Linked DNA regions of Canis lupus familiaris. The protein of the gene in region 2 interacts with the protein of the main gene of each other region in a biochemical or structural test. Links are inferred from orthologs where the notes say so. Each region holds a gene or a part of one and is shown on either strand. Other genes may lie near its edges.

Region 1 (3,624 bases), on a different chromosome or scaffold from region 2:
AAATTTTATTCCTTTCAAATTAAATTAGTAACCTATTTAGTGATGGAAAAAAAATACCCTTGGTGCTTACTAACTAGATTTTCTTAACTGATTGGGATTAAAAGCAAAAAAAACATATGCCACATCAGAAACATGTTGACATAATCAAAGGAAACAGTGTTTACAAAAAAGGAGTCACTATAAATAAGTGAATGGTATTTGTGAATGTAAAGCTATATTTTGTTGCTTACAGCTAGTATCATTTTAGACATATTGGGACTTACAGAAAGTGAAACTCAAACCTTAGTATATCTGTTAAAGACCAAACAAAACAAAACAAAATAAAACAAAAAACCCAGTTATGTCCACATTGGGGAAGAATAAATAGCAAACTCACAGGGCAGGGTTTTGTATCTAGCTCTACTGTGAAAGATAATCACTCTTTAGCTTAAAAAGGCTCCCCTGCTGTCTTGATTATAAATCGAGACACAGGAAAGTTTACTTGAGCCTGAGTCCCTACTATGAATTAATTGTAAAGATGTGTGAAATCAAAACATATATTCATTTACTGATAGATATTGTCTTAACTGAAAGCTGGCAATCTTGAAACAAAGAAATGCTTATTTCCGACAAGTGTAAACACAAATCTTAATGAAAAGATTTTCTAATTTTTCGTCTTAACTCATACATTAACCAGCAATAGATCTCTGTAGTAGCACAAGAACTATTCAAAATTAACATGCATATATCCAAAAAACCTGTTCTAAAGCCCAAAGCAAAGCAAAAAAAAAAAAGAAAGATAAATCAATAGGAAGATTGTCTACTTATATCTCACTCATTAATCTTCTAATAATGTGACTACCTCCAAATCTTAGAAATAAACTTTCATAATTACCAAAATCAACAAAAATAATTAAATGATCTGTAGGTATTGTTTTGTTTTTTTTAAATAACCGCACACTAGTATTACACTGGTGCTTTGAATGTGGATAACGCTTAAGGGTAGCTCCAAATATCATTAAAATATATCCGGACCAGTTGCAATCCATGAAACAAGAGCGAATACAACATTAACATAAACCTTAACGAAAATATTCAGGACTCTACAGAACAAATTTGCAGAATAATGGATAATTAACTTGTGTGAGCTGGCCAGGGGAGCTCAGATCGTTGCCTCCATATAAAAACTTCTCAGAAGGCTTTATGTTCTCGAGGCCCTCCCTCACTTGCAGACAGCAAGTTAGCCACCTGTGCATATCCCGGGTTGGGTGCCGAGCTTCCTCAGTGGCCTGGAGAAGGCCCCTCCGTCAGAGAACGATCTAGAAAGAAAGTGCCCTGGCGTTTGTGCTCATGCGGCACAGGTACTGGCATGTTAGGGTGTGTGTGTGTGAGGACCTATACGTGTGTAGGCCCCTGAAATGTTGCAAAGGCCTGGTTTCCTGGTTTCTAATTGGTGCAACATCCCTTCTGGCCTGGTCACCATCAGGAGCAGTGCATAATTCTATTCCATCGGAAGAGAAGGCCGATGGATGCCTTCATTTCGGGGCATCTTCAAGAGGCGGCAATTAGAAGATCAACATACTAGGGCCCACGGTTTTTGGTTTTACAGTAAATAAAAAAATTTTTTTTCTTTAGAGAAACAAGCCTTTGAGTTTAAAAACCAAAGGGTCTGTGGCTTTCAAAAATCTTTAATTTTTAAGGAAAAAACAAAATAACCCAAAAAACCACCCCAACCCAGCTCACCTGGGAACAAACAGCAATTGCGCTTATGCTATGCGGTATGCGAACAAGACACACATATACACTGGGGTACACCCGTAGACGTGGAACAGGGAAAATCTTTCCAAGGGCTCGGCCCCCCAGATCTCCCACCACCCCCCCCCCCCCGGGAGCAGGAGCGTTAGGAGGAGGCTGCAGACATGTTGGGGGTCCAGCCCATCTGATAGGCCCTCTCCAAGGTCCTCTTGCAGTCCTGCAGCACGGTGCTGAAGGTGATGTGGGGGTACTGCTGCACCAGCTGCTCCACCGTCACTTCGTTGACCTGCAAGCACAGAAGAGCCGCCGTCAAGCACAGGCCCACCGAGCCTGGCAGCCGCCCCTGGACTCCGGGGAGGAGCCCTCGCCCCTTCCTTCGCGGCAGAGCCAGGCAGCATCCATGACACGACACGACACGTGTCCTTGCTGTCTGCCCTCCCGATGCCTCGGCACTGCACTCACCCGGAGGGATGCTTAAAAAAGACATACGCTATCAAGGAACCGAACGTGTTTTCTAGAAGCGTGAGCGATAGGGACTCGTGGAGACCTTCACGGTGCCGTGGGAGAGCCGGGGTGCGGGAGGGGAGGCGGCAGTAAGGCACCATTCTTAGGTGCCTCTGCCTTCATCGTCAACCCGACAGCTTTTTTAAGGACAAAACTCTGGATTGGGAGAGAAGATCCATGGGATTCCAGCTAGGAGTGCTGGGGAAAATGTTTATTTTTCTTCCCTTTAAATGTTAAGGTATTGCAAACTCCAAGTCCCTTTGTGAAAAGGGCTGAAATGTGAGGAATCAATAATTAAAACATACGTGGCTGGCAGGTCAGGGATGGCCCCGATAGACCTTAACCATCAAAGATACCACCTTGATTCTTGATTAGACAAGGCAATCAGACAGGCCTAATTAAAACTAACACCTTTACAATTGCTGTGCTGTGAAGGGATTAATTTGTCAATTATTTTTAAGCTGATTGCAGTTCATATCACAGAAGCAGACAGCTTCCTTCATCCTTTAGATAAATAAATGATTAACCTAAGAACCACAACTTTTAGGTAGCTTTATTTAAAATCTTTATTGAACACTTGGGCATTTTCAGATACATCAATATTTCATTTATACTGAGTAAGCTGATCTGAAAGGAGGTGCTTATGATACACAGTTCCGTGCTCCCTCCCTCTCCATGTCTGTCCATTATTGAAAAGGATCAGGGCCGCCAGGAAAAACCCAAAACAACATCAAACCCTTGCTGTTTGCTTTGAAAGCCTGTTAAAGAAGGATGATGACCATGACATTCCATCATCTGCACTTTTCTGAAACGACATGATGTTCTCTGGGTGATTTGGAAAACTATGTTATATATAATATCTTTTTTAAAAAATGAGAATTGATATTCCAGCATTGCATTGATGGTAATCCGTGGGCACACCTCTCTCTTCAAGACTTGCTTATATTTAAATCAACCTTCATTCCAATTTCAACCAAACCATGTAGGTAATCAGTTTTTGTGATACAGATATGATGTATAACGCTGTTTTCAAAAACAAGAAGAAGATAATTTTAAATAAAAAGGAAAAACTGATAAATTAGAGTTGAGAATATGAATTGATGGCCCTAAGATGATTTTTAAGCAGCGTTTTTATTTTTTATTTTTAATTTAAATGTATGCTCTAAGTCTTGAGTTGAGGCAGCTTACAACAATATACTTAGAAGGTCACGCACCAACTAGCCCTGCCAGTCGTTCTAGCATGTTTTTTGATACTCCAGTCACCTGACTTCATTTCAGTTTATCAAGTTGTCCAAGTTTCTTCTGGCCTCAGGGTCTTTGCACATGCTATTCTCTTTACCTGGAATACTTCTTAATCCACTTTCTCCTAAAAACCCTTTCTTTATG
Region 2 (4,911 bases):
CTTCATGGTAACAGAGGAATCCTGGTTCAATACTGAATGATCAGGTTAGAAATTTTACGCTTAAGGAATTCAAATGCAATTTCTGTCTCCTGCGCTATGTGACCCTCAAGCAAGGCCTTTATAACTGTGTCTGATTCAGCTTTAAAATAAGTATAGTAAGACAAATTGTTTCTATGGACACTGGCACAATTAATCCAAAATGCCCATACAACTCTTGGGAATCAAGCTTTTATAAAACCAATCATAATTTGATATAATGTACCTAAGTTTACTCTATATGCAAACTTACTGAAAGACTCCTATGAAGGAAAAGTTAGAGATACTAACACCAATCTTTTATTTCTCTAATTGGAAAGTTCAAAGTACAAACCTAAGTTTTCAATTACGTATTAAAAAAAGAAAATTTTCAACCACGTGTTTAGAAAAACTGAAAATCGCAGAAATATTAGTGCAAGAAAGATGGACTGGGAACAGGAATGTCTAGCCCTGTAAAAACATTATGTACTTTCATTTTTATGTGTCCACTTAAATTTTCAATAGATAATTTACATGATTCAAAAATTAAAAGTACAAAAGGGTTTGCTGTGAATAATCTCCCCACCCTCCCTACCCACCTGGCCCTCTAGTTCCCTTTCATGAAGGCCGTGAATAGTATCAGTTTTCTGTGTTTCCTTGCAGAGTTCTTGTGTACATATACGTAAGAAAATGTGGTTAGCATTCCCTCTTCTATTTTTTAAAAAATGGAAAAGATGTAAATGCTCTCTTCTAAAGAGCCAAATATTCGTATGTGGAGACGTTCTTTTATATTATGACTGAAATCTGATCTTCTGTGCCACAGGCAGTAAACGTGAGCACCCACAGTCTGTCTCCATAACGTCCATAATTAAGTTCATATCGTTATTTTTAAACATCTCCAAGGCTGCCTTGGCAGGTCAGCAATGTTAGCATCCGTACCTTTCAGCTGGAGCAGACAGGCTGCAGGGAGCAGTTCTTGTACATTCTCCACTGTCACATGTACTGTTTCAGTGTACACGAAGTCCAACAGAATTTCCATGGTAGAAGCAGTTAAACCTTGAATATCAACATAAGGTTTCCCCTTCTCTGAAAGCTGAAAATTCAAAGGGTGTGAAATAATGGTGGTTATGATCCCACAAAAGAAAGGCCGAATCTCATATCTAAGAGCTTGAAGGGACATTAATTGAATACACAGCTTTAATAAGTTATGGTCTAATTTGTTGGATTTGTAGAAAGCAAGTATGCCATGTATCTGGTAGCTTTTCAAACTGGGGGCAGCTGTATGCAACCCAAGAGCACACGACGAGGTGACACTGTGGAATATCAATTTTGCCAGTGAATAATTTAAAATGCTGCCTTCATAATAAAACAAGCCTAGAGCTTTTACAGAATAGAATGCAAAAGTTCCACGAAATACTATCAGTGTCCAGGAGCTTTTAAGATAAAACACAAAATTTCAATAAAGTTTCATGCTTGTAGAGGACCCTGTGGCTTACAGCTCCAGACTCTCTAAAACTACTCAGTATTGTTCTATTTGTCTTTAGACTACATTTGGTAATGACAGAAGATGCAGCTCATCTTAAGGGGCCCTTCTACTGTGACACTGTCTAAATATAAGGAACTTGTTTGATACTTTCTCAAAATATTGGATTGACTCTATTGACTCTATTGTTAGTGGCATGTTTAGTCTAGAATATACTCTTGGAGTTATGAATATCGAAGATGCCAGATAATCATAGAAAATTGTTTGAATAAGGGTGGAAATCTTCAGTTTTATAGGACAGGAAGCTATCTGAAAATCGATAACCTTATGAAAATTTTATTACATATTAACCTTAATTAGAAATTCAAATTACAAAACTCCAGTGTACTTTAATTCTGAACTAAATGTCTTTATCATCTTTGATTCCTCCATCAACCCAAAATAATAATCAAAAAGTGTTCTCTACCAAAGCCATTAACAAAATCAATCCCTGACATTAAAAATGTCACTAGTATATTATTTTGGAAAAACTAAAATTTTATTAGCATTGCACATAATAAAAAATATTTACAAACAAAAATATGTAAGTACATTTATTCCAGAAATTTCTTATTCAATAAACCATTCTCAAATAACTTAAATATGAAAATATTTCACTATTAATTCAGAGCAATTTATAGTATTTTACATTTACATCTGCTTTATAATTTTTCTGAGAGTTATTTACTATCTTATTTACTTATTTACTATCATTTCACCCAATTCTCATGGCAACCTGATAAGGACTTAGAGTTCTGATATTATTCACACTTAAGACATAAACGACCTAAGGTTCAAAGAAGTTACGTGACTTAAGCAAGCTCTCTTAACTAGTAAGAGACAGATAAAACTCAGAGGTCCCTCTTGCTTCACTCAAATGATCTTTCAGTTGGACCACATTTGAGGAGCATTTCAGGACTAGGGGGGAACAATGAAACCATCTAGTTCAACTACTTTATTTTAAAGATCAACCCAGTGAAGTTAAATGGTTGCCAGGATTCACAGAGTTCAGCTAAGAGAATTGAGCCTAAGACCCAGGTCTCTGAACCCTCTCCTTTAAATCAACTGCTCCTAAAAATAAAAGACAAAACCATCTGGTATTTTCTTGCCTAATACCAGTTTTTAAAGAAAGACTATAAAATAATCACTGATGAGAAAAAGGAATTCTTTTATAGAACTCCAGATTTCAACGTGCAGAGAGAGTAAAGACAGACTAATTTTCCTCAAGCTGACAAAGAACAGTATGCACAACATATAATTAGTAGTCAGCAGTCCTGATCCATTAGTACTTCATGCTCAGCAGCTGCTGAGAGAACCTTCCTTACCCAGTTAAATGCCAAGTCCTTCTGATGCTCTTGGGCAGATATTCCTTCTGGAGCACAATATGGGACAGGGATGTGTGATGATGTATTACACAAGAGCATTTTAAAATTAGCCTGAATTAGCTGGAATATCTGTCAGGTTTCCATGTTTTTTTCTACCAGCCATGTGACCGAGCATTGGCTCAGAGCATCATAAACTATTTTTTCTTTGAAATTATAGAATATAAAAATCCACATATCAGAGGCTGAGGAAGCAAAGAAGTCAAAATTTCTATAAGGCAAGTAAGATTTGTATGAAGCAATATGGCATATATTCGTAGCTTTTCAAATATGGCATATATTGTTTGGGTTTAGAGTCAGAAAATTTAGGAATAAACCCCATCTCTACCATTTATAAGCCATGTGACCTTAGGCAAGTCATTTAATATCTGAGCCCTTGTTTCTTCTTTTGTAAAATGAAATGGTAACATCTAATCCTAGCATGAAAGAAATACAGCAGTCACTTAACACAGTACCTGGCCCATAAAAAGAAGTTATTGTCATTTTTATGTTACCACCTCTCCTATTCAGATCCAACAGCAACATCTTCACTAAGGAGATGAGATTAACTAAAGAAAACACTGGTGGTTAACAAGATTTGTAACAAGATTTGTAAAAAGGCTCCTGGGTGGCTCAGTCAGTTAAGCCTTGGACTCTTCTTGATTTCAGATCAGGTCAAGATCTCAGGGTTGAGAGACTGAGCCTTGTGTCAGGCTCCCTGCTGGGCATGGAGCCTGCTTAAAATTCTCTCTCTCCTTCCCTCTGTCCCCTCCCCACCCACCCTTCCTAACCACCCCCCACTTTTGTGTGCTCTCTTAAAATTTTTTTTTAAATTACATTAACGTAATGTGATATTTTAGGCATATATATAAGTATATGTACATGATATAATACACACTGGTGTATTCTCACTCAAGCTTAAAAAATTCAAGACAAGGGACCCTTGTTGGTTAAGCATCCAACTCCTGACTCTTGATTTGGGCTCAGGTTATGACCTCAGGGTCCTGAGATCGAGCCCTGTGACGGGCTCCATGCTCAGCAGTCTGTTTCCCTTCTTCCTCTGCCTCTGTCTCTCCCTCTGCTCTTGTGTGGTCTCTCTCTCTAAAATAAATCTTTAACAAAAATTCAAGATAATTGACTTAAAATTTAAAAATCAGACTTGAGATTTTGAAAAAATAGAAAAGTGCAGTGTTCTCTGCTGTTTGGCTTTCTAACAGTACTTCACAATATATTCAACAGCCTCACTCTACAGTGCTCTGTCAATTACTAAACCAATCTTTTTTTAAAAAGATGTATTTATTTATTTGTGGAGCAGGGCAGAGGGAGAGAATCTTCAGACTCCGTGGTGAGTAGGGAGCTGAAGGGGAGCCAGAGGGGAGGAGGGGCTTAATCCCAGGATCCTGAGATCACAACCTGAGCCGGAACCAAGAGCTGGATGCTTAACTGACTGAGCCACTCGGGAGCCCCTAAAGCCTTTCAAGACTTCATTTATTTATTTGAGACACACACACGGAGGGAGGGAGCACAAATACTCGGGTGCTGGGGGGAGGAGAGGGCAGCAGAGACCCCGTGGAGGAGGAGCCCAGAATCAAGACCTGAGCAGAAGGCAGACACCTAACCCACAGAGTCACCACCCAGACACCCCACAGTCTTTAATACCTATAAGCACAACCTTTTATCTTGTCAACCTTTTCTTTATTCCCTTTAACTGCTTATACTCCATAGTCAGCATCTTTTTCCAAGTTGTACTTCACACGCCTACACAGTCATGAAGTCATTAAGTCCTCCTCCCATCTGAAATCTACATGGGTAGAACAAATGTTGATTTTCTTCATCTACTGTTCGGTGGAGTTGGATGAGGACTGCATCTTCTCTCCTCCCCTTCCCTTTATCCCCCTAGTATTCACTTAAAAATATTTGATTTTAGAAGGAGAAAAAAAAAAAACAGCAAAACAATTTTTAGAAATAAGTAAAATCTAGTAGCTGACGTTTGTGTTTTACCACATGCCAGAC
Region 3 (5,408 bases), on a different chromosome or scaffold from region 2:
AACAAACTATGCTTAACCTTTAAGATCCCTGAAGCAGGGTATTATGCTTTAAAATTTGTCCTCTAAAACAACATTAGGGTAAACAGTCATTAAATGCCTATCCATGCTTTCAGGCTCTAATCAAAGAACGAGCTAACCCTCATTGTTCCAGTAATTTTCCTAAAATTCCAAATTCCAGTATTTGTTCAAAGAAACTGATTTGCTATTAATACTCATGTAATGGTAGTACTTTCCAAGAGATATGAAAGCATAACAAAATTAATCAACTTTTCTACATAGCTTTAATTTCATACCTCTTCTATGTTCAAACACTTTTACCCTCCTTGACACAAACATCTCAACTCCAATTCCTGTGGCCCATTACTTACTATGAAACCTTGGGCAAATAAGTTACTTAACCTCTCAGTTATTCATTATCTTCATCTTCAAAAGAGGGATAGTTAAGGACCTTCTAAATGTTGAAAGCCTTAAATGAGATAATTCAGCAGTGCCCCACACATAACTAATTTCTCAATACAAACTGTTTTTACTGCTGTGGTCATTGCCATTTCCTAGTCCATCTCTTCTAACACACGCAAAATATATGGGAAGCAAATAACTAGCATTTCTCTCTGAAGCATAAATCAGTGTATGCCCTTGAGTGGACAGATTGCTCAATCTCAAGTGGCTTGTCCCCAAGAGCTCTTCCATGAATGTGTACAGTCTTTCCACTCTGATATTACAACGGGACCTGACATGACCTTAAGAGCTGGATGCATCTACCGTGTTTTCAATAAATAATAATGCCCACCACATTATTTCAATGTTTCCTATTGACTGATATTCACACACAGGTTTGGGGGTCAGAATTTAAAATCTTGGGTCATGTCGTTCTTAAATTTTCAGCTCATTTCAAGTCATACTAAAATAATAGAGGGGCACTGAGTGGTGCAGTCAGTTGAGTATCTGACTCTTGGTTTAGCTAGGTCATGATCTCAGTGTTATGAGATCAAGCCCCTGTGGGGCCACTCAGTATGGAGTCTGCTTAAGATTCTGTCTTCCTCTGCTCCTAACCCACTCCTCCACCCCACTCTCTCTCTCTAAAATAAAAACTTTTTAAAAAAATAGAATAATGGAGTCAAAAAAGGTCTGGATCAAAATATGCCTCTGCTGCATACCAGCAATGTGATCTTGGGTAAATTAAACTCTCTAACCTCAGTTTCCACATTTATGTAGTGGTGAAAAAACTTAACACTTCACAGAACTGCTGTATGAACTAAATGAAATTATATATTACTTGGCACAGTGTCCAACAAGTAGTGAGCACATAATAAATTATAGCCATTATTATTATTACTATTATCAGAAAGCACATGTAGTGCAGACAATACTACTCATACACCTAACTTCTCAGAAAGTACCCATTTTCATAATTTTAAATTTGGAAAAATAAATTACAATTTGTATTTTAACTGAAATTGTATTGCCCTCATTTGCTCTAGTATTAAAAAATAAAAACAAAATATTCTTCAGACTCTTCCATTAAAATGTTCTTGCAGGCCTTTTAGAGGCTCTATAATGTACTCTTCAATTTAAAATTAAAAGTGATTTTGCTCCAGAATTCTTTCAAATATTCTAGCCAAAAAGGCAATTTTGAAATATCCCAAACCACCACATTTATTGCTCAAAAATAAAATTACTGAAAAGAAGTACACCTCTAAAAGCACTTTTATTATATGCTAAAGCTGATCTTCATGGTAAGCTGATGTTCAATCTGAACTAAACACTACCAAGAAATGACTATTTCGGTAGAAAGATCTCTATATTAAATCATACCTTGCGGATAGCTCTATAACTGCTTATATTATTTGTCAAGTTAATAATATATAAACACTAAGCTTATAAAGAGTGTTGGGCGGATTTTAGGTGACAGAAACAAAATTCTAATTTTATCTGTGTGTGTGTGTGTGTCTATGAATAAATAAATAAAATCTTTTTTTAAAAAATTCTGATTTTAAATGCACCACTTTTGTTTTTAAAAACGTGTTTAAGATCAACTTCCTCCAAAAATGGAACCACGGGGGCTGCTGAGAACAAGGGATGAGCACTCCCTGCCAGTCCGAACCTATGCCTGAAGCCAAGCTTGCTCGCCTGCCACACGCTGCTGCTGAACAGGGTCACTTAGGTTGATGGTGACACGCAGGCCAGAGAGATAGAAAACAATTGACATAAACCAGAAGCCAACTGGGAAAAGGCGGAACATGGAAAAAACTCAGTGAGTCACCAGTTTTATTACCATGAGGGCACCATCAGCAAAACTGAGTTCAGTGATCCCAACTTTCTCAATCTCCATACACAATATTAAAAAATCAAACTAATTTTTTTTTAAGATTTTTATTTTCCTTTTAAGTCATCTCCATATCCAATGCAGCCAGAACTCACAACCCCCAGGCCAAGAGTCGCACGGCTCCTCCAAACCGAGAGCCAAGCCAGGCACGCCGAAGAATTAAAACTATTGATAACAGTTCAGATCTGCTCTTCCCCCCCGGGCCGAGCCTCGGTCACCCCGGCAACCTCGCTCCCTCCACCCCTTACACCGCCCACCTTCCCTCAAACAAGGACAACGTCGGTGGAGAGGCTCCTGCAAGCAGCACGTAATCCACGCCCACATGCCTGGGCCGACCAGCATGACACTGACAGTTTTCGGTCCTCCCGATCTGTCCAATTCGTGGCGCCTCCGCACAACTCGGAGGGGGGGCAAAAAAAGAGACGGACACACAACACTCAGCGACAGCTCAGCGTCGAACCTCCTGACCCCCCGCCTTGACACGGGCCGGCCGAAGAGCCGATGCTCTGCTCCACCCGGCCACCTCCCCACCCCGGACTCCCCGAGGACACGCGGGGGGTGGAGGGGGGAGGTGGCCGAACGGGCTCCCGGTTACTCCAGGGTCGCCCCTGGCCCTGGGAAATCAGAGGCAGCAGGAGGCGAGGCTGCTCGGCGCGCGGCGCGGCGCGAGCCCGGGACCCGCCACCTCCGCGGAGCTCCTAGGCCACCAGGCACCGGGGCGGGCGCGCCGGGCAGAGGCGGGCGGGGAACCCGGGAGCCCGTGCCCCAGCGGAAGGCTCAGCGCGCTTCCCCTCCGCCGAGCCCTCCCTGCCGCCCTCACTCCGACGGTTTACCTGCAGGAAGCGGGCAAAGCCCGGCGCTTGCGTCCACGTCTGCCAGCTTCGGCGCCACCGCGCAGCCCGTCTCCGCAGCAGGCGGCAGCCGCCACTGACAGAGCGGTGGGCCCGGCCAACTCCTTCCCATCAAACCCCGCGCTCCCGCCGCCGGCCAATCAGCGCCACGGCCGGCGCGCGCCGCTCCCCGGTCACGTGACTGCGCCGGGGGCGGGCAGTTGGGGCGGGCCGCTCGGGCGGTTGGCGGAGGACGCCGGCCCTGGGGCTTCCGCGGCTCGGTAGGGGGCTCGTCGTCGCATCTCGGGGCGGGGCGGGGCGGGACTGCCATTGATTGGGAGGCTTACCGGCACGGCTACTTCTTTTCCTCGGCCTCCTCTCGTTCTTTTGAAGCCTGTTCTGCCAACTCTCACTGGAGAAAGAAAACCCCGAAATTGACCCTTGGGGGGGGGGGAGGGGGGGTGCTAGGTCGCCGCGAGAGGGACGGGTGGGGTTGAGGGTGCAGATGGCTGCGTCTGGAAAGGACTCGGCCCTGAAGAGCCCCAGGGTCAGCCTCCCGCGGCCGGCAGCGGAGGAACTTAACCCTACCTCACAGCGCAGCCAAGGCCCGCTCCCCACACGAGCCCGTGGAGAAAATCCAGCAGACTGAGTGCCGGAGGCCTTCGTCACTGCTGAACGTCAAAAAGGGTCATTTTGATGACAGGACGCTGACCTCACCCGTGGGGGGTGAGCTTCACACGCCGGAGGATGTTGTTCTCAAACCCGTGGAGGTCACAGAGGCCGAGTTTTCTCTCTTAAAACTCTCACCTCGCGAATACGCCCTTCCCAGGTCCTGATCTCCGGGCCCACGGATGACCCCACACACACACACACGGGCTGCGTTCACCTCAGATTTGAAAGCGTTTCCTAGTCCACTGCACGTGACCAGTCTAAATAGCCAGAGATAACGTGAACCCGTGTGAGGTAACCGTGCAGAAGGGGTGAAAAGCAAGCAAAAGCTTTGGTAGTGGCTTACCTCCGTGACTTGCTTGTGCAAACATTTTTCACGGGATATTTTTCTATTCTGTTTAGTTACATCCGAGTTTTAAAATAATGCATCCGTGAGTGTCTGTCATTGCTTTAAGGCGCTACATGGAAACTTTGACGAAGCCGAGCATAGGGTACCGGAAGCTACCAGGTGATTCGCTGTGAGGTGAGATCGTCCTCACTGTTAGAATCTTTCGTTACAGCTGTGTAAGCTTGAAAGGACGAAGGCAAGGGAACCAGAGTTTACTTGTGCACTCTGGGTCTAGTAGAAAATAGAAGAGTTTTATAGATTGAAATTCTGTATCCCAGAATTCCCTGTGAATCCCCTTGGCCTTGTTTAAAAAAAAAAAATCTATCGAAGAAAATATGAATAGAAACATTTCATCTATTTTGATTACAGAAATTTAACCATTTCATTTTTCATCCTTTGCTCTTTCGAAGTATATATTTTTAAAAGGCCTGTGAAGTTAATGCAAAACATATCTCCTCACCTCAGGAATATATTTTCCTAAGAGAACAGGAAAGAAATGTTTACCAGTTGCTACTGATTTTGTTCTCTAGTTTTAACTGGGCCATCAAGGTCTGTTGTAAAGGGGAAAAAAAACAGGAGGGAGAAGACAAGAACTAGCCAGGTGCCAGGCATCCCAAAAACCTGATCCTGAGACAAAATTCCATAGATAATTACTCTGGAAGAGGAGACACTTGGAGGGTGAGATGTATGGAATCACTAACTCTTTTAACCAAACAACTTCTTTTTTTTTTTTTTTTTTTTTTTTTTTTTTTTTACCAAACAACTTCTTAAGGTAAGTATCATTTTAGAAATGAGGAAATTGATTAGAAATATTACGTATATTGCTGAAGGTAACACTGTACCACTACCTGGTAAGAGTTTGTCAGGCACAGTAAGAGAAGACCAAATATTTCTCGAGGACAAGACCCTATGTACACATACAGATAAATAAAACAGCTGTCCTAAAGTAACTGACACTAGTGAGAGAAACCTTCAAGAAAACACACAAAAATAATAGGGTAAATAACCATGATAAAGGCAAGTGTTCAAGAGATTGGAGAAGGATAAGGCAACAGCAGCCAGAAGGGGTATGGGAAAGCCAGTGAAGGTGGTGCTTTAGCCGAGTCCAAATATTGAAGAATTATTGCCTACTAATCCTAAATTTCTCCTGTGATAGATTCTAAGGAAGTGAAATCAGAAAAGCACCAGAGAAGAT
Region 4 (5,531 bases), on a different chromosome or scaffold from region 2:
GCTCCATCCCCTAGAATTCTGCACCAGAGTCTGTAAAAGGGAAGTGACAGAGAAGGTCTCTAGCGTGTAAATGTCACAGTACAAGTCATTGGTGGTCTTGATGAGAAAATAAGGCACAAATGACAACTCAATGTGCCTTCAGAGGGAAAGCTGTTAGGGTGGATACATACAAAGTGTGTGTGTGTGCGTGCGCCCATGCACACATTCACACACACAAAAGAATGGACATATAACTTACTTGGTCATCCCATTTGTTTAACATTTGAGAGTTCACTATATGCCAAAGACATACGATGAACAAGAGGGTAGACTATGAAGTGTTAGGAATGCTAGCACCCAGAAATAGCCAATGTTTAAAAAGTTCTAAGGGTAATAAAAGGCATTTTCCAACTGGCCCAACATTAGATACATTATGTGCTAACGTTAATGGGAGGAAGAGAGCAGTGTTGTCTTTCAGTTTATTTCTCTCCTCTCCCATCCAGGAGCACCATCTACTTGGAAAGCTTAGAACAGACCTGGTTAAGAGGGAACTGAATCCCAAGATAGGCGAGGGGATAGTGGCAAGTACATTAATACTTTAAGTGATTGAGTCTGTAGAACTAGGCAGGGGCTAGGCTGCATCTTTCTGCTGGCGAGGAGACGGTCTCCCCTGTGGCTGCGCATCTCTGCCATGAGGCCACAGGACTCCAGGCAACACCGTCCCCACCAATGGCAGCAATTCACTGAGAGGACCCCAAGGCTTAGGCCTGCCCTAGCAGTATGGCCCAGGTGCTGTGCCCCACCCGACCTGTTCCATGCAGACAGTTGGAGCCAGTGGCTCATTAGAAATCAGGGCTGAGGGATCCCTGGGTGGCGCAGCGGTTTAGTGCCTGCCTTTGGCCCAGGGCACGATCCTGGAGACCCGGGGATCGAATCCCACGTCGGGCTCCCAGTGCATGGAGCCTGCTTCTCCCTCTGCCTGTGTTTCTGCCCCTCTCTCTCTCTCTGATGACTATCATAAATAAATAAAAATTTATAAAAAAAAAATGAATGTTTAGGAAAAAAAAAAGAAATCAGGGCTGAGGTGAAGGGAGGGACTGCACCAGCCAGTGTCTCTGAAGACGCCTTCTAGAATCATCTGTACCTTAGTGAGTTACATTGTTGGGGGGCAGGGCAGGATTGTCTTTAAGCCTTCGTTTCCTACTACTTAATCTCCCTTTTAAGAGTCAGCCTTGCCCCACAGGATGACTCCGGGAAGCACACGGAGGCCTGGGCTACAGCTCCTTGCCTGTTGACCAGGCCCACCATGGTTTTCTGGTCAGGAATTTGTGTACTTTGCAGCTGATGGCCGTGAGGTGCTGGCCTGAGGACCCCACGAAGTCCCTGAGTCACGAGGGTGCGGTGTGACCCTGTGGGCCCCGCTGGCCACGGGAAAGGAGTGTGGCTTGGCCTTCCAGGGCAGACAGCACACAGCGACACCCGTGACCCGGCCCCGCCCGCCGGGTGGTGTCTTGGAAGTCTCCCCGCGAAGTGCGCGGCAGAATCCTAGCTATCAATTTTGTGCAGTTAGGAGCCCGAGATGGGACACAGACCACAGATGGACTTCAGAAGCTGTGGAAAATTCCAGAAAACATTGCTCAGCGAGTACTTTGTGAGGAGAAACGTAGAAACCATGTGAATTTGCTAAGGCGTGGGAAAACTTCCTGTGGAGGGGGCGGGGGGCGGGGGGTACTTCAGGCGAAGCCAGCGTCACGGGCGATCGCGGGAGGTCGCGGAAGGCCGTGGTACATCAGGGGAGATCCCAGGTCACCGGAGATCCTAGGAGGTCATGGAAGATCACGGGAGCTCCAGGAGATCCCGGAAGGTCACGGGAGATCCCCGTTCCCTCGAGGAATCTGGCGGAGAGAGCCGGGAAGCCGCGGAGCGCTCCTCGGGGCCTCGGCGGGGGCGGGGGCGGGGGCGGGGGCGGGCCGGCCCTGAGGCCCAGCAGGGCCCACCCCCGACGCCGGCAGGGGCGAGGTGCGGGTGACACCGCCCGCCGACGCACGGGGACGCAGAAACACTCCGGAAAAGTGTCTCGTCCCCCTCGGTCACACTCGGTCCCGGGACGTCGTGTGCAAGAATGAAACACGGTCGAGGGGAGCCCCTTCCGCGCGTCCTGTCGGTGCCCCTGCCGGCCGAGCGGCCTCCGCACCAGGGTCCGCGGCCCCGGGCGTCGCCTAGCAACCGGGCCGCCAGGGGCTAGGCTGCGCGGGCGACACCGCCTTCCGGCGTCCCCGGAAGTGGCGTCAGCGCCAGGCCCCGCCCCAGCAGAGGCGGAAGTGGAGCCGCCCGGGTCTCCAGCGTTCCCGGGAGCTCGGCCCAGCGTTGCCGCCTGGGCCCATGGCCGCCTACTCCTACCGCCCGGGGCCCGGGGCTGGCCCGGCCGGGGGCGCGGCGCTGCCGGACCAGAGCTTCTTGTGGAACGTTTTCCAGAGGTGAGGCCCGGCGCCACCCGGGCGCTTACCAGGTTCACCGGCCTCCCCCGGCCTGCTTCCTGGTTTCCTTCCTGGCCTCCCGCCGGCCTCCCTCCTGGCCTCCCTCCTGGCCTCCTTCCTGGCCTACCCCCGGTCTCCTCTGGGCCTCCTCCCTGGCTTCCCTCCGGCCTCCCTCCTGGCCTCCTTCCTGGCCTCCCACCAGCCTTCCCTGGCTTCCCACTGGCTTTCCTCCGGCCTCCCCTGGGCCTCCCCTGGGCTTCCTTCCTGGCTTCCCTCTGGCCTCCTCCCCCGCCCAGCTTCCTTCCAGTTGCCCTCTGGCTTCCCCTCCCCTCCTCTTTCCTGATTCCCTCCAGTCTGTCTGCTCTGGCCTCCTTCCTGGCTCCATTGGGCCTCCCCACTGCCTCCTTCCTGTTTCACTTAGTCTTCCCATCACCCTGGCCTCCTGCCTGGCTCCCTTAGGCCTCTCCCGGGCCTTCTGCACCCCCCCACCCTGCTGCCGCCCTGGGGCTCACCCGTCGCTCTGGGGTGGGGGGGGGCGTCCAGGTGCAGAGCCCCGCCCCCAGATGCCCTGAGGTGCCGCCTACACGCCTACACACACGTCCCCAACAGCCAAGAGCCTGCGGGCTGAGGAGCTTGCTGCTCCTGGAGGTCTCCCGGATGCTTGTTTAGGGTAAACAGAAACACAGGCTGCTTCAATGCTGTTAAGCTGCCTCGGCTGCGAAGGAAGCTGGTACTTGTATCCTGGGTCGTCCTTCCAAGTGAATGAGTGACCGGGACCTGAATGGCCCACAGCCAGGAAAGGACTTGTCTGAGGCAGTGTTTCTGCGGTTTGTGGAAAGGAGAGGAACTGGTGCAGGTGGAATTCAGGCTGGCCAAAGGGAAGCAAAGCAGAAAGGCTTGAGAAGGTGTAAGAGAGAAGAAGTGGTTCAGTGTCTCTGGGGAGAACCGACTTGGACTTTGGCTGGTGGAGCACTTAGGATGAGAGCAGGGGCTCATGCATCTCCTTATTCCCAGCAGAATTTGGGAGACACCCTGGCTGAGTGCAGTGGAAGGGCCATGGGAAGGAGGCCACCAGAGTGAATATAGAATTGACGCAAGAGGTCCACGTGTGTGCTTGCTGTGTTTTGCTTGTCCTGCACTTTTAATCACCGGTCTTGATTTTGTAGGGTTGATAAAGACAGGAGCGGGGTGATATCAGACAACGAGCTTCAGCAAGCACTCTCCAACGGTGAGTAGGACCTGAACTTTGAATCTGACCCATCTTGTTGTAAACAATTTCTTTTTCCAAGTACAGAGGACTTACTAAGGCCTAACTCTTCTTGCTGGCACGTGGTGGAGGTGCTTCTGATTTATTTTGCCAAGTGACGTCCTGCTCCAAGGGTCTTGCTGAGTTCTTGAGAAATGGGGGTTGCAGGGAGGCTTTAGGGAAGGATAGGAAGTGTAGATGCACTTTGAGGTACATTGAAGATCGCTGAGTTTCTCAGGTAGCTGCATCTCTCCAACCTCTCTGGAGAGGATCACAAGGTGCCGGGGCAGCACGGGGAAGTGACTGGGATGTTGGAGGGCTGGCGCTGGCAGCTGGATTGTGGGAAGGTGGTTTTATCGGTGGAGGAATACTAGGCGCTCAGACCGGGATACAGTGTCCTGGCTCTTGTGGTGGTGTGTTGGAGGCTCTCGGTGGAGTCCGGTTCTTGCCGCTTCCAGCATGATTAATCCGTGGAAGTACTGTTTGAGACCCTTTACTTCAGTGAACACCTGGCTATGTATTCTTGTAAAAATCCCTCAGATGCCACTGTCTTCTCTGATTCTTAAGATTTGTAGCTTCTCTTTCCAGAGGTGTGTCATTGAAGGTTTTAAGGGGATTGATTCTAAGACGTTGAGAGACCTACTGTTATTAGTGGGAGGCAGTTTAAAGAATGGTACATATCACTGACTTTTTCCAGCGTTTAACGCGTGGGCCGCGGACATGTATGTATGTTGCTGTGTTCAGGAAACCAAGAAAACTCTTTACTTCAGCTTTGATGACTATGCCTTCTTGTTTCTTCTCTTACTATCATCTTTTCATTTTTTGTGTCTCCAAGGGCTTGAGTTTCACTTGGAGGAGTAGAAGACTGGGTTACTAGAAAGATGTCAAAACAAGCTGGAATCCAGCAGGCTACGTTAGCAGATCTGGCTTAAAACGTTCTAAGTGTTGGGGTGCCTGGGTGGCTGAATCCGTTAAATGTCCGAATTCTGATTTCGGCTGAGGTCACAATCTCAAGCTCGTGAGATCAAGCCCCGTGTCCGACTCCATGCTGGGGTGGAACCTGTCTGGGATTCCCCCGCCCCCTTGCACTGGCCCACTCTCACCCTCTCTCACTCTCTCAAAAAAACAAAACAAAAAAACCCCTTTCTGATTATTGACCAAAACAGATGTCTTCACAGTCATTTGTGAAAGAGTCTAGCCACTACAGTGAGAGTGCTCTCAGGGGTCATTCCTTTTGCGTTCTTTTCCAGTAAGTGAGGACTGACCCAGGACCCATTTGGACATCTTTTTGTCTGTTTGCTTGAAGTTTCGAGAGTGCCATCCAGGTTTGGATTTGTGTGAAACCCCTCAGGGAATGATGGTCACACTCTGCCCTCATTAGCATGATGGTGTCCCTGCAGAGGGCTCCTGCTTAGATTCAAATCCTGGCCCCAGAAGTTCTAGGAATGTGACCTTGGGTAAGGACTTGACCTTTCTGGGTGTGTAGATGGAGGAAATGCGTGCAGAGCGCTTGGTACAGTGCCAGGCACGCAGCAGGGTTCAGTGTTGCCGGCTGAGGGTACAGTAGTAGTATTGTTCCTGGCCAGGGAGCCAGCTCAGGGGATGGTGATGATGATGACAGTTGCCACTGACTGAGCATCCAGTGCATGTAGGCACTGTGCTGAGCACTTAACAAACCAAATCACCCATCGGCATTGTCCTATGAGCCCTGGGGATGTGGTGGCGGGACCTCTTCTGACCTGTAGGTTTAGGCTTCTATGTTTTCACTACATGGTGTCACTGCTGCTTCTATTTCGGCTGCTTATTAAAGAAGATGGGTCTTTACTCTG
Region 5 (5,644 bases), on a different chromosome or scaffold from region 2:
AGGTAATCGTCCATGTAGAAATTCTGAAAAAAACTAAAAAAAGAAAAATCCTTGCATTAACGGGTTTTAGCAACAACAAAGGACATGAGGTCAACACCCCAAGACTGTATTTCTACACGTTAGCAGTGAACAACTGGAAATGACGTTTCCTTTTCTTTTTTTTGTTTTTTTTAAAGAGTTTATTTATTTGACAGAGAGAGGAAGAGAGAGGGAGCGTGACCAAGGGGCACAGCAGAGGCGGGGGGAGAAGCAGGCAGCCCGACGTGGGACTCGACCCCAGGACCCCGGGATCACGCCCTGGGCGGAGGGCAGACGCCCAACCGACTGGGCCGCCCAGGGATCCCGGAAATGACGTTTCTCCGAAGAACCATTTACCGCCTCTAGAATCCCGAACTCCTAGGCTGCGCGGCCCGTAGGCTGGAGACGATGGACGCGATGTGAGACCTCAGAGGGAGATACGTGCTCACAGATGGGGGGCTCGGTGTCCCCGGGTGTCACTTTGCCCTAAACTCGTTGCACAGATTCAGCGCGATCCAAGTCACATGCCCAGCAGGCGGGTCGTGCCGGAGTCAGGGGCTCCGGGCCAGGCTCACAGACAAGGCACGAGGGCGACCAGGACAGTCCTGTGGGAAGGAGGCTCGGGCCCCAGAGCCTGAGTTCCCACTGGCCGCGAGGCTGCAGGAGTCACGGCTGCGGGTCACTCTGCAAGGACTGACGTTAGACGTGTGGCTCACGGAACACAGGCAAGGGTTAAAAAAAAAGAGCCCCACACAAAGACGATCCAGTGATTTTTGGGGGCAGAAACTGAAAAGTGAGCCAACGGAGACACAGTCTTTTCAACAAACAGTGCTCAGGCGACTGGCCCGCCGGGCAGGGAACGGAAAGCGCCCCGACTCACAGCTTGGGGGGAGGGGGTCGGATCCGCTGTCAAGGAGGAAGTGACAAGGTCCCAGCTGGGAGAAGGCATTTTCACATCACATATGTGACTCCTTCCATCTTAGTACATGGAGGTGAGTCGCCGTGAGTTGTGTTGCCATTTCCCCGATGACAGGGTGTCGAGCTGTCCCTCCCTGCTTACTGGCCCCTGGAGCCCTCCGTCTACTAATGTGCCTCTGCAGGACCTTTGCCTTCGTTAAAAACTGGACTGTCTTTTCTTGATGACTTGATGGAGCTCTTTGTATATTGTGGACCTGCATCCTTTGTCAGAGGTCTACACTGCACACATCCCATCCCGGTCCACACTGCCCGTTCCCGCTTAGTGGTGGCCGACATCTGGGGACAGAGAGGAAACTGCAAGCGGGTCAGAGGCTAGGCTACAGTCACTGCTTGGCATGTAACCCAAGGTCAGGGCACCAGCCCTGCCTTGGGTCTGTCCTGCGAGGGTACCATCCCCTCCCCTGTCCCGCACCGGTCTGCATCACAGGGAAGGAGGCGTTGGATGCACCTCGGAGCTAGATGCCCCTGGACACGCACCTGTCCTGCATCAGACCCGAGGGACTTTGCCCCTTGTGACCCTCATTATGGTATTTTGGGGTCAGAATCCTTGTTTTCTCTTTAAGATTTTATTTATTTATTTGAGAGGGAGCCTTGGGCGCAGAGGGCGATCTCCCGAGAGCACTTGCTTCCATATGCACCCCGGCGGCTCACCGGGGGGTGGCCGGTGTCCCCTGCTGTCTCTGAAGGCTCCTGGGGTCCTGGCAACAGCTCTGCGCTCCCCCCGCCCGCGGCCCCGCTGCCCCCTAGTGCCCAGAGCACGGGGCTACATGCGCGGCGGGTGGGCCCCGACGGGGACAGGCTCCCGCGCCCCGGAGCCACCGAGGCCATGAGGACGCGCTGTCGCAACCGGCTGGAGCGCAGCGTGAGCCCGCGCCGCGGACGGCCACCCCGGCACCTGCCCCACCCGGCCGCGCTGCGCCGCCGCGACGCTGGCCCGGAGCTTCCGCTGCGCCCAGGCCTGCGCGGGGCCCGGGTGTGTGGGCAGGTGGGCGCAGCCCGCTTCGGCTGCCCTCGGGGAGCGGCGACTCGGGGTGCGCGGGGCGGGGCGGGGCTCCCAGAGCGGGCCCCGCGCGCCCTCCTCCGTCTCGCCCAAGGCCCTGCAGTGAGTCGCGGGCGCGGGGGGCCCTGCGGGGTCGGGGCGGCGGAGGGCAGCCCGCCTGGGGCGCACGGGCGAGGCGGGCGGACGCTCAGGCACTGGCGCTGGGGCGCGGGGAGGGCTCCCTCCGGAGGCGTCTCCTGGGCCGCCCCTGAGAAGCGGACGCGCGGCGGGACGGCGTGGACCCGAGCCCGGCCGGGCACCGCCCCCCCCGCGCCCCCCGCGCCCCCGCGCCGCCCCTTCCACCTGCGCGGGGCCCGCGAACTCCCGGACCGGCCGGGGTAGGGGGGGGGCGGGGCGCCCGGGGCGGGGCGGGGGGCGGGGCCAGGGCGCCGTCCCGGGGCTGCGCGCCCGCCTGGCCGCGGGGCGGGGGCCATGGGGAACCGCAGCGCCGGGGACGCCGACGGGCTGCTGGCGGGGCGCGGGCCGGGCGCGGGGACCCCGGGGACCCCGGGCGCGGCGGCGGCGCTGGCGGGGGGCGTGCTGCTCATCGGCGCCGTGCTCGCGGGGAACGCGCTGGTGTGCGCGAGCGTGGCGGCCGAGCGCGCCCTGCAGACGCCCACCAACTACTTCATCGTGAGCCTGGCGGCCGCCGACCTACTCCTCGCCCTGCTCGTGCTGCCCCTGTTCGTCTACTCCGAGGTGAGCCCGCCCCGCGCCCGCCCCGCGCCCCACCCGCGCCCCCTCTCCTTGCCCTGTTCGGCGGCTCCTACCAACGACACGTCCTCGTCCTCCAAGCCGCGCGCTCAGAAACGGGCGACACCGCCAGTCGGGCCGCCCCCCTGCACCGGCGGGGGTTCCATTCCCCGGGGAGCCAGGTGGACGCGCAGACTCGGTCGAGCCACCCCCCGCCCCGGCTGTCCCGGGGGCACAGGGACACACATCACTGCACAAAGCACAGCCAAGCGTGAGCAGGAGCGCGCAGGCGGCCGGGCCCCCGGGAAGCCCACGCGACACGCACTGTGCCCACAGCAGGAGGGGCACGCGGCCCCAGGAGCCGGGGGCAGGGAGCAGGGCGCCCCCCGCGCCTCACAGTGGACCCCAAAGGACGGGGTGGCGTCCCACCCCCGCCGGGAGCCGGGCCCGAAGCCCTGGTGGGACCCCCGCCGCCGGCCCTGCTGCGCTGCTGCCCATTGGGCGGAAGAGCTGCTCAGGGCCGGGAGCGCGCTGGCCAGGCGCTGCGGGAGGGGCTCAGCGCCCTGGGGGGACGCGGCGAGGCGGGCGCCGCCGGGTCACTAGCAGGACAAGGACATGCAGGGCCTGCCCCTCCCCCGAGCCCCGCCGGACGTCACAGCGACGGCCCTTAAGCTCCTAATCGTCCCAAATCAGCGGCAGGGGATTTAGAGGGGGCGGTTGTCTGCTCGTTGCTCTTGGTGGGGGCGCTGGGCACGTGTGTGGCTATGCACCCCCTCACTCATTTATCCTCAGGGCGGTTTTGTGGGTGCTATGGTCACCCTCATTTTACAGATGAGGGCACAAAAGTGAGGACCCGTCGAGTCCGAGCGCAGGGACAGGGCTTAACCAGATAGGCTGACTCTCGCCACCCCGCGGGGGGCACGCGGCGGGGCTCAAGTCCCCGGGCAGGAGGACCGCAGCCCGTGGAGGGGGGGCCGCCTCCAGCACAGCATCACACTGGGGTCCTCCACCGCCTGCACCCCCGCTCCAGGGGCCCTCCCAGGGGGACGGAGGGGCTCTGCTCAGCGCGGTGGCAATGCGGCCAGGCGGGACCCCGGGCCCATTCCGGCCCCCCGGGAAGCTGGGCGTCAGAGCGCGGCCCGGGTCGCGGCGAGCGCTCCTGGGCTGGGGGGCGGCCGCCTGGTCTCGTGCGTGTCGTGCCCCCACCCCGGGCCCCTTGCGGCGCAGGTCCAGGGCGGCGTGTGGCTGTTCAGCCCCGGCCTCTGCGACGCGCTCATGGCGATGGACGTGATGCTGTGCACCGCCTCCATCTTCAACCTGTGCGCCATCAGCGTGGACAGGTGAGCCGCCCCGCGTCGGCCCCGCCCCCCGCCAGGCCCCGCCTCGCGACCCGCCCTCGCCCCGCCCCTCGCCAGGCCCCGCCCCGCGGCCCGCCGCCCTCACTGCGCCCCCGCAGGTTCGTGGCGGTGGCCGTGCCGCTGAGTTACAACCGCCAGGGCGGGGGCGGCCGCCAGCTGCTGCTCATCGGCGCCACGTGGCTGCTGTCGGCGGCGGTGGCGGCGCCCGTGCTGTGCGGCCTCAACGACGCGCGCGGCCGCGACCCCGCCGTGTGCCGCCTGGAGGACCGCGACTACGTGGTCTACTCGTCCGTGTGCTCCTTCTTCCTGCCCTGCCCGCTCATGCTGCTGCTCTACTGGGCCACGTTCCGGGGCCTGCGGCGCTGGGAGGCCGCGCGTCGGGCCAAGCTGCACGGCCGGACACCGCGCAGACCCAGCGGCCCCGGCCCGCCGCCCCCCGACGGCAGCCCCGACGGCACCCCCGGCCCGCCGCCCCCCGACGGCAGCCCCGACGGCACCTCGGACGGCACCCCCGGCCCACCGCCCCCCGACGGCAGCCCCGACGGCACCCCCGGCCCGCCGCCCCCCGACGGCAGCCCTGATGACAACCCCCGCCCGCCGCCCCCTGACAGCAGCCCTGGCCCGCCGCCCCCCGAGGTCACCCCCGATGACACCCCCGACGCCACACCCCGCCCCCTGCCCCCCGCCGCCGACGCCGCCGCGCCCCCCCCCGCCGACCCTGCAGAGCCCCCGCGGCAGCCACGCAAGCGGAGACGCGCCAAGATCACCGGCCGGGAGCGCAAGGCTATGAGGGTGCTGCCCGTGGTGGTCGGTGGGTGCCTGCCCGGGCGGGGGCGGCGGGGGGGGGTGGCCGCGGGACCCGCTCACCGCCCCGCCCCCCAGGCGCCTTCCTGCTGTGCTGGACGCCCTTCTTTGTGGTGCACATCACCCGGGCGCTGTGCCCCGCCTGCCCCGTGCCCCCGCGGCTGGTCAGCGCCGTCACCTGGCTGGGCTACGTCAACAGCGCCCTCAACCCGCTCATCTACACCGTGTTCAACGCCGAGTTCCGTGCCGTCTTCCGCAAGGCCCTTCGCCTCTGCTGCTGAGCGGGGCCCCCGCCCCCCGTCCCCCGCCCCCCACGCCCTCCGCAAGGCCTGGCCAGGCCTGGCCAGGCCTGGGGGGCAGTGTCTCGGCGCCGAGGGGGCGGCTCTGTGCGGCTGATTGAACCAGGTCCTTCCTCAACACCTGCTGGAAGGCTGGGCCTGGGGCGGCCTGGGAGTTCCGGGGGGAACCCAGACCCCCCTTGGGCCCCTCATCCTCCTGCGGAAGCCCAGGGAACAGACCCCGGGAGGCTGGTTCCTTCCCCAGGGTGAGGTGGGGGACTGCCCCAGGCCCTTCGGCCCTCCCACGGAGAAGCTTCCAGAAGCATGCTGGCCGTCCCTGAGAAGGCCAGGACTCAGCTGGAGGGGCTGCCCACAGGCTGGCTGGTGGTGACAGCCAGGACACACCGTGGCTTCCCCACGCCGGTGCTCCTCCCACAGTGGGGCGGGGACACCTGTCCGGTGGGCTCAAGGTAGTG
Region 6 (4,911 bases), on a different chromosome or scaffold from region 2:
ACTCTGGACAAGGATTTGTTTCCTCTTCTTATGTTAACTTTGACCCAAGCTCTTCACTTTTCATGAACAAATCAAAATGTTTATCTTTATATGTCTAAATCAGTTATATGTGATTTTTCATTGTCTAGAACCCTGCCAGCTGACTAGTTGCTTATCTGTGAAAAGCAGGTACAAATTTATAGCTCCACCTGAAGATAGGCTGTATATTACCAGCTCTTACACAAGAAAAAATACAACTCATTACATTTTTATTTTATATTTTAAAGGGAAATACCTTTGAAAATAGCTTCTGTTTAGCAAGCTTGGCTGAAAATACGGAATTCAATTGATCTTAAATTGTGGCTCCTGATTAGGTCAAATGAAATACTGCAACTGTCAAGTTAGTGTGAACATACATAAGCAAATATATGAGCCAAAGTTTATGGCCATGTAAGTGAAAAATAATACCCATGCATGATCAATCTTAAAAGAAGGGTTACTATTTTTTATTTAGGTTGTCTTAATTGAAACCAAATTTAGATGTTCATTAATAAAGGAAGTTAACACATTAAAAAAAAAAAGAACTAAATAGAGCCATCTCTACATTCCACCTTCGCAGATTCACTGTTACCTGTATGGTATTTCCAATAGGAGCCCCTGGGGCACCTTCAATATTGGGCTTGGAGAAAGATGATGGCATGCCTGGTTGACCAAGGGGTTGCTGTATGCCATGGAATGTCTGGCCACCTGCAAGATGTGGCTGTGGAAACGAAGCTTGGCTCGACAGAGGTACGGGAGCTGAAGGCTGTTGCGGCAGCATCTGTGACTGGGGATCACCCAAAGGGTTCATGATTGGTGATGTGATGGGAACAGGAGGCATAAAGTTTTCAGGCATCTTTTAAAAGACAGAAATAAAAGACACTAAGTATAAGAAAAAGAATTATTTCCTCACCTTTAAATAAGGTTTAAAAGTTTTTTAAAAAATAGAATACTTTTTTCAAATGAACTTTTATGCAATTCTAGAGTAAACCTAAAAGCAGAGGCGATCTGGCTAAGAGGGGTGGAGAGCTCAAAAACTGGACTTCTCAGTTTCCTCTTTGTCTTCCACACTTCTTCTCATATGGAGAGCCAAAACATGCTGTTTTGAAAGAGGATGTCAAAGTCTAGAGAATTATATCTAGCAATAGTGAAATCAGATATGCCAAATGTATGTTTGTATTTAATGTGATCAGGATGTAATACCCCTTTTCCTAGATCACTAAGTTGATATTACCTGTCAATTCAATCATATTAAAAGTAGCAGATTAAACTTCTGATTATCACGAACCTAAATTTTAGGGATTTTTGTTCATTTAGTGCCTCCCAATTTTATTGTTATGACCTCTCATTACTATATTTAAGGAAAGACTGCCAGAAGTAAAAAAAGAAAAAAGAAAAGTAGAAATGTTTGAGGAAAGAAGAATCTTAATCTTTTCTTGTGTCCATCAGCTCTCAACAGTTACTGACATTTAAACAGTGTTCAGCTACAAGATTATTTCTTCACTCATACTATATGTGATAGACAAAATAGTCCAAAATATAATTACCAAATTCATGACTATTGCTGGAAACCAAAGACCAAAGTAACCCAAAGAGAAAAAAAAAATCATTGGAAAATTTTGTTTCCTATTCTTTGTAAGAGACTTGTCAGGAATTTACATCTGGTCTTCTAATGGGAGTTAAATTCACACCACCATATTGGTTGTTTTGTTTTGTTTGGTTTTTTCTTTCCTTTCCTTCCCTTCATGGAGAAGATGCAAGCTAAAATACACTCTAAACCTCTCAGTCAGTAAGCTTTGCTTTTAAAAGGATTAGTGAAAAAAGTGATGTGTTCCAGATGGCTATGTGATCAACAGAACATCTGCAGGCAACTGGATGGACATCTTTTTCTAGTACCTTCTTCTTCTTGGGTACTCTGTTCAAAGCTGGAGGATCATTCCAACCATTCTGAGGACCTATAACAGATAATAAAGGGCATTTTCCTTTAGAATTCTGAAAAGAAGAAAACTCAATTATATCCATCTTACATTAAAAATTCTGCCTTAACCCCAAAGATAACTATCACAAAAGTTTTACCAGCTGAGCTCTGGGGATCACCCTGTGGCCCTGGATTCTCAAACTCATTCCTCCAAATATTTACAGGCCTTGGATTAGTAGGCAAGGTAATTTGGTATTATTTCATTTAAAGTGAAAGAACTGTACTAAATTTAGGGATAGTGAAGTCTTTATTAAAGTCTACATTGATGTATAACCTTCAAGATCAGTTAGGAATTTTCTCCTAATAAAGAAAAAATAAATAACTTGAGTCTGCTAAAAAATAAAGAATAAAAAATGCTTTTGCTATATTCAACATACAGAAAAGAATAAAAGTAACAATTTCCTATTTCCCGAGGGAGCAATTCAATATAAGCAAATCATCCATATAGTAGAAACATTGTTAAAAAAAAGTCCCAACTACACTGCAATTTTTATCATATTTGCCTTAGAAATTTATACAATAGAAAGTACTTAAATATCTGTGATACGACTTTTTTAATGCCACAAAACAAATTCCAGGTTGGCAGCAAATACAAAATTAAACTTTAGTCAACTTTAGTAAATTTCCCCTAAAAAACCCCCCAAAACCTTCATTTCAAAATGAAAAACAGACATCAGTAGCAGCATTCATTAAGTACTTTAATGCCAGTATCTTTAAAGAAAACATGCCAGAAATAGGATAGTTTTAAAATCAAAATGTGATCATTTTACATCTCATTGATTTTTGTATGTTTAAAGACAAAAAATTACTCTTCTTACAACAAATTAAACATTCTTTCAGTATTTTACCTTTTACTTGTTTTATTGATATCCATGATATTAAATCACAACAAAATTGCTTAGCAGATCAAAAAACCTGTGATCCATACATAATGCCACAGAAATTTTTTTAAAAAAACAGTATCTTCTAACCACCATACACTCATTTGCCTTACTTTTTTTGAAATTTATTTTATTTTTTTAGTAATCTCAATACCCAACATGTGGCTTAAACTCAAGACTCTGAGATCAAGAGTCACATGTTCTGACTGAGCCAGCCAGGCGTCCTTCATTTGTCTTGATATTAAAAATGGAATTAATTTTCTACAAGTTTACTAGGAGACAGAAAGCCAAATAAGCCTCAAAACACTCAAGAACTAATCACAAAATATTAAACTATATGCTGCTATCTGCTTAAATTCTTAAGGTTCTGGTAATACACAGAAAATCATTCAAATCTCTCTCATCACCTTCTAATCTTACTCCTATTTAAGACAATCTTGATATAGTCATTGTCTTTATGATCATATAAAATAGAAGATCTGAATGATTTGAATCTACTAGGTCACCATGTTAAATCAATCAGCTCTAAGATTTGATTTGATTAGGAAGTCAAATTAAAAAATGATTGATCAGATTTAGAATATCAACTTTGAGTTTCACATGCATTATTGTGAATGTCCATTCATTAACTATATTCAATGATTGCATAATTTCCAAAGACATATTTTATAACCAATTCACCTTCCAACATAGGTGCCTGGTCTTGCATATACTGATTTTCTGTAGACAAAATGTAGAAGTCATTTAAACAGTACTAGCATCAAAAACATTCTAAACTCCTCATTTTGTAATTGCTTCTTCTCCATCAACCCGAAAAAGAACAAATGAATTTTATAAGGAAAAAAAATTTCTTTTTATCAAGTCACAAAAAATACCTAAGAAAATAATCAGTTTTTGGGTAAATTGAATTCATTTAGGTTGTGTCAGATTCAATTAACTCTCAATTAACTCTTAAACATCACTCTTGCTGTGGTACTTGTTTAAGAAAAAATTTTGTTCCTGCCTATTTAAAATAATATTTCCCTGTCTGCATGGATTTTTTTCCCCCTACTATTTGATCAATAATACCACTGGGGGTGTGTGTGTGTGGTGGAGAGCATTTTGTACTACTTAAAGCTGTCAATCAAAATCAACTGAGGATCTTGTTAAAATGCAGATTCTAATTCACCAGGTATAGGGAAAGGCCTGAGATTCTATTGTTCCAGGTAGCTCCCAAGTAATGCCAATGCTTTGCTGGGCAAAGCCCTCTTTTAGTAGGGATTTAAATAACGATGGGAGGCTTTCTACACTGTCCTGCCAGACTTCAGCACTGTACTTATTAAAGAAAAGAATATCAGACAATCTTAGCAAGGTAGTGCCACTTTACTGCCAGATTTGGGAGGCAACTGGGGGCAGCCGCATCCTGATGAAACTGTAATTTTATGGAATTCATGTCAAACTATGAATATGAAGATAAATGACAATAGGCCAGTAAATATGTAACCATTTTATATGGTCTTTTCTGTAAGAATATATGGATTTGCAGACTGTTTAGTACAGGTCTTCCAAAAACCACTTAGGAGAACTGAAGTTTCTGGCAGTGGACAAGAGGAAAAAAGGCTGAAAACTAACACAGCAATGCCAAAATGGTCAGATAATCAGGGTCAGGCCAGGCCCAATCTCAAATCAAAAGTATGCAGTGGAGGTAGATTATATTCACATATCTATAACTACGGAAATTCACCTCTCTTCCCCTAGGGATAGAGGAACCAAAAGAATACAGCAATTAATTACAGAGTCCAATTTAGTTTGAGCTCTATCAAGCAGCACATGCCTCAGAGAAATTGTGAGGTGGGAGAGGTAATCCCTAGCTTGAAATCTGTGTGGAGTTTTGAACAGATGTTTTCTATAAAATATGGCTCCTAATGCAAGCCAACTTCTTCATAAAAGCTTAACTAAAAAAAAAAAAAAAAAAAAAAAAAAAAAAGGCTTACCTAAAGAAAGAAGTGATCAAAGACTTCCTATTTTTTATAAATGATTTTCCATTTTTGCCTT

The links.
Region 1: the proteins of KLHL12 (region 2) and FBXL17 form a complex in vitro, tested with the Homo sapiens proteins (3 studies listed by BioGRID, with this or other methods). The link is inferred for Canis lupus familiaris from reciprocal best matches to the Homo sapiens genes KLHL12 and FBXL17.
Region 3: the proteins of KLHL12 (region 2) and LNPK form a complex in vitro, tested with the Homo sapiens proteins (2 studies listed by BioGRID, with this or other methods). The link is inferred for Canis lupus familiaris from reciprocal best matches to the Homo sapiens genes KLHL12 and LNPK.
Region 4: the proteins of KLHL12 (region 2) and PDCD6 form a complex in vitro, tested with the Homo sapiens proteins (2 studies listed by BioGRID). The link is inferred for Canis lupus familiaris from reciprocal best matches to the Homo sapiens genes KLHL12 and PDCD6.
Region 5: of the proteins of KLHL12 (region 2) and DRD4, one has a biochemical effect on the other in vitro, tested with the Homo sapiens proteins (2 studies listed by BioGRID, with this or other methods). The link is inferred for Canis lupus familiaris from reciprocal best matches to the Homo sapiens genes KLHL12 and DRD4.
Region 6: of the proteins of KLHL12 (region 2) and SEC31A, one has a biochemical effect on the other in vitro, tested with the Homo sapiens proteins (3 studies listed by BioGRID, with this or other methods). The link is inferred for Canis lupus familiaris from reciprocal best matches to the Homo sapiens genes KLHL12 and SEC31A.

What each region holds. Positions count from the first base shown.
Region 1 is NC_049224.1:4,092,862-4,096,485, reverse strand, and holds part of FBXL17 (F-box/LRR-repeat protein 17), read right to left. Parts: intron 2,021-3,624; coding exon 1,880-2,020; 3' UTR 1-1,879. UniProt on the Homo sapiens protein: Substrate-recognition component of the SCF(FBXL17) E3 ubiquitin ligase complex, a key component of a quality control pathway required to ensure functional dimerization of BTB domain-containing proteins (dimerization quality control, DQC).
Region 2 is NC_049228.1:389,527-394,437, reverse strand, and holds part of KLHL12 (kelch-like protein 12), read right to left. Parts: intron 1,109-4,911; coding exon 955-1,108; intron 1-954. UniProt on the Homo sapiens protein: Substrate-specific adapter of a BCR (BTB-CUL3-RBX1) E3 ubiquitin ligase complex that acts as a negative regulator of Wnt signaling pathway and ER-Golgi transport.
Region 3 is NC_049257.1:20,133,177-20,138,584, forward strand, and holds the start of LNPK (endoplasmic reticulum junction formation protein lunapark), read right to left. Parts: upstream 3,837-5,408; 5' UTR 3,745-3,836; exon of another isoform or gene 3,627-3,744; intron 3,569-3,626; 5' UTR 3,504-3,568; intron 3,317-3,503; exon of another isoform or gene 3,160-3,316; intron 1-3,159. UniProt on the Homo sapiens protein: Endoplasmic reticulum (ER)-shaping membrane protein that plays a role in determining ER morphology. Involved in the stabilization of nascent three-way ER tubular junctions within the ER network.
Region 4 is NC_049255.1:12,069,158-12,074,688, reverse strand, and holds the start of PDCD6 (programmed cell death protein 6), read left to right. Parts: upstream 1-2,159; 5' UTR 2,160-2,361; coding exon 2,362-2,456; intron 2,457-3,622; coding exon 3,623-3,684; intron 3,685-5,531. UniProt on the Homo sapiens protein: Calcium sensor that plays a key role in processes such as endoplasmic reticulum (ER)-Golgi vesicular transport, endosomal biogenesis or membrane repair.
Region 5 is NC_049239.1:26,078,536-26,084,179, forward strand, and holds DRD4 (D(4) dopamine receptor), read left to right. Parts: upstream 1-2,467; coding exon 2,468-2,734; intron 2,735-3,955; coding exon 3,956-4,068; intron 4,069-4,184; coding exon 4,185-4,897; intron 4,898-4,968; coding exon 4,969-5,171; downstream 5,172-5,644. UniProt on the Homo sapiens protein: Dopamine receptor responsible for neuronal signaling in the mesolimbic system of the brain, an area of the brain that regulates emotion and complex behavior.
Region 6 is NC_049253.1:33,229,393-33,234,303, reverse strand, and holds part of SEC31A (protein transport protein Sec31A), read right to left. Parts: intron 3,598-4,911; coding exon 3,559-3,597; intron 1,974-3,558; coding exon 1,915-1,973; intron 875-1,914; coding exon 611-874; intron 1-610. UniProt on the Homo sapiens protein: Component of the coat protein complex II (COPII) which promotes the formation of transport vesicles from the endoplasmic reticulum (ER).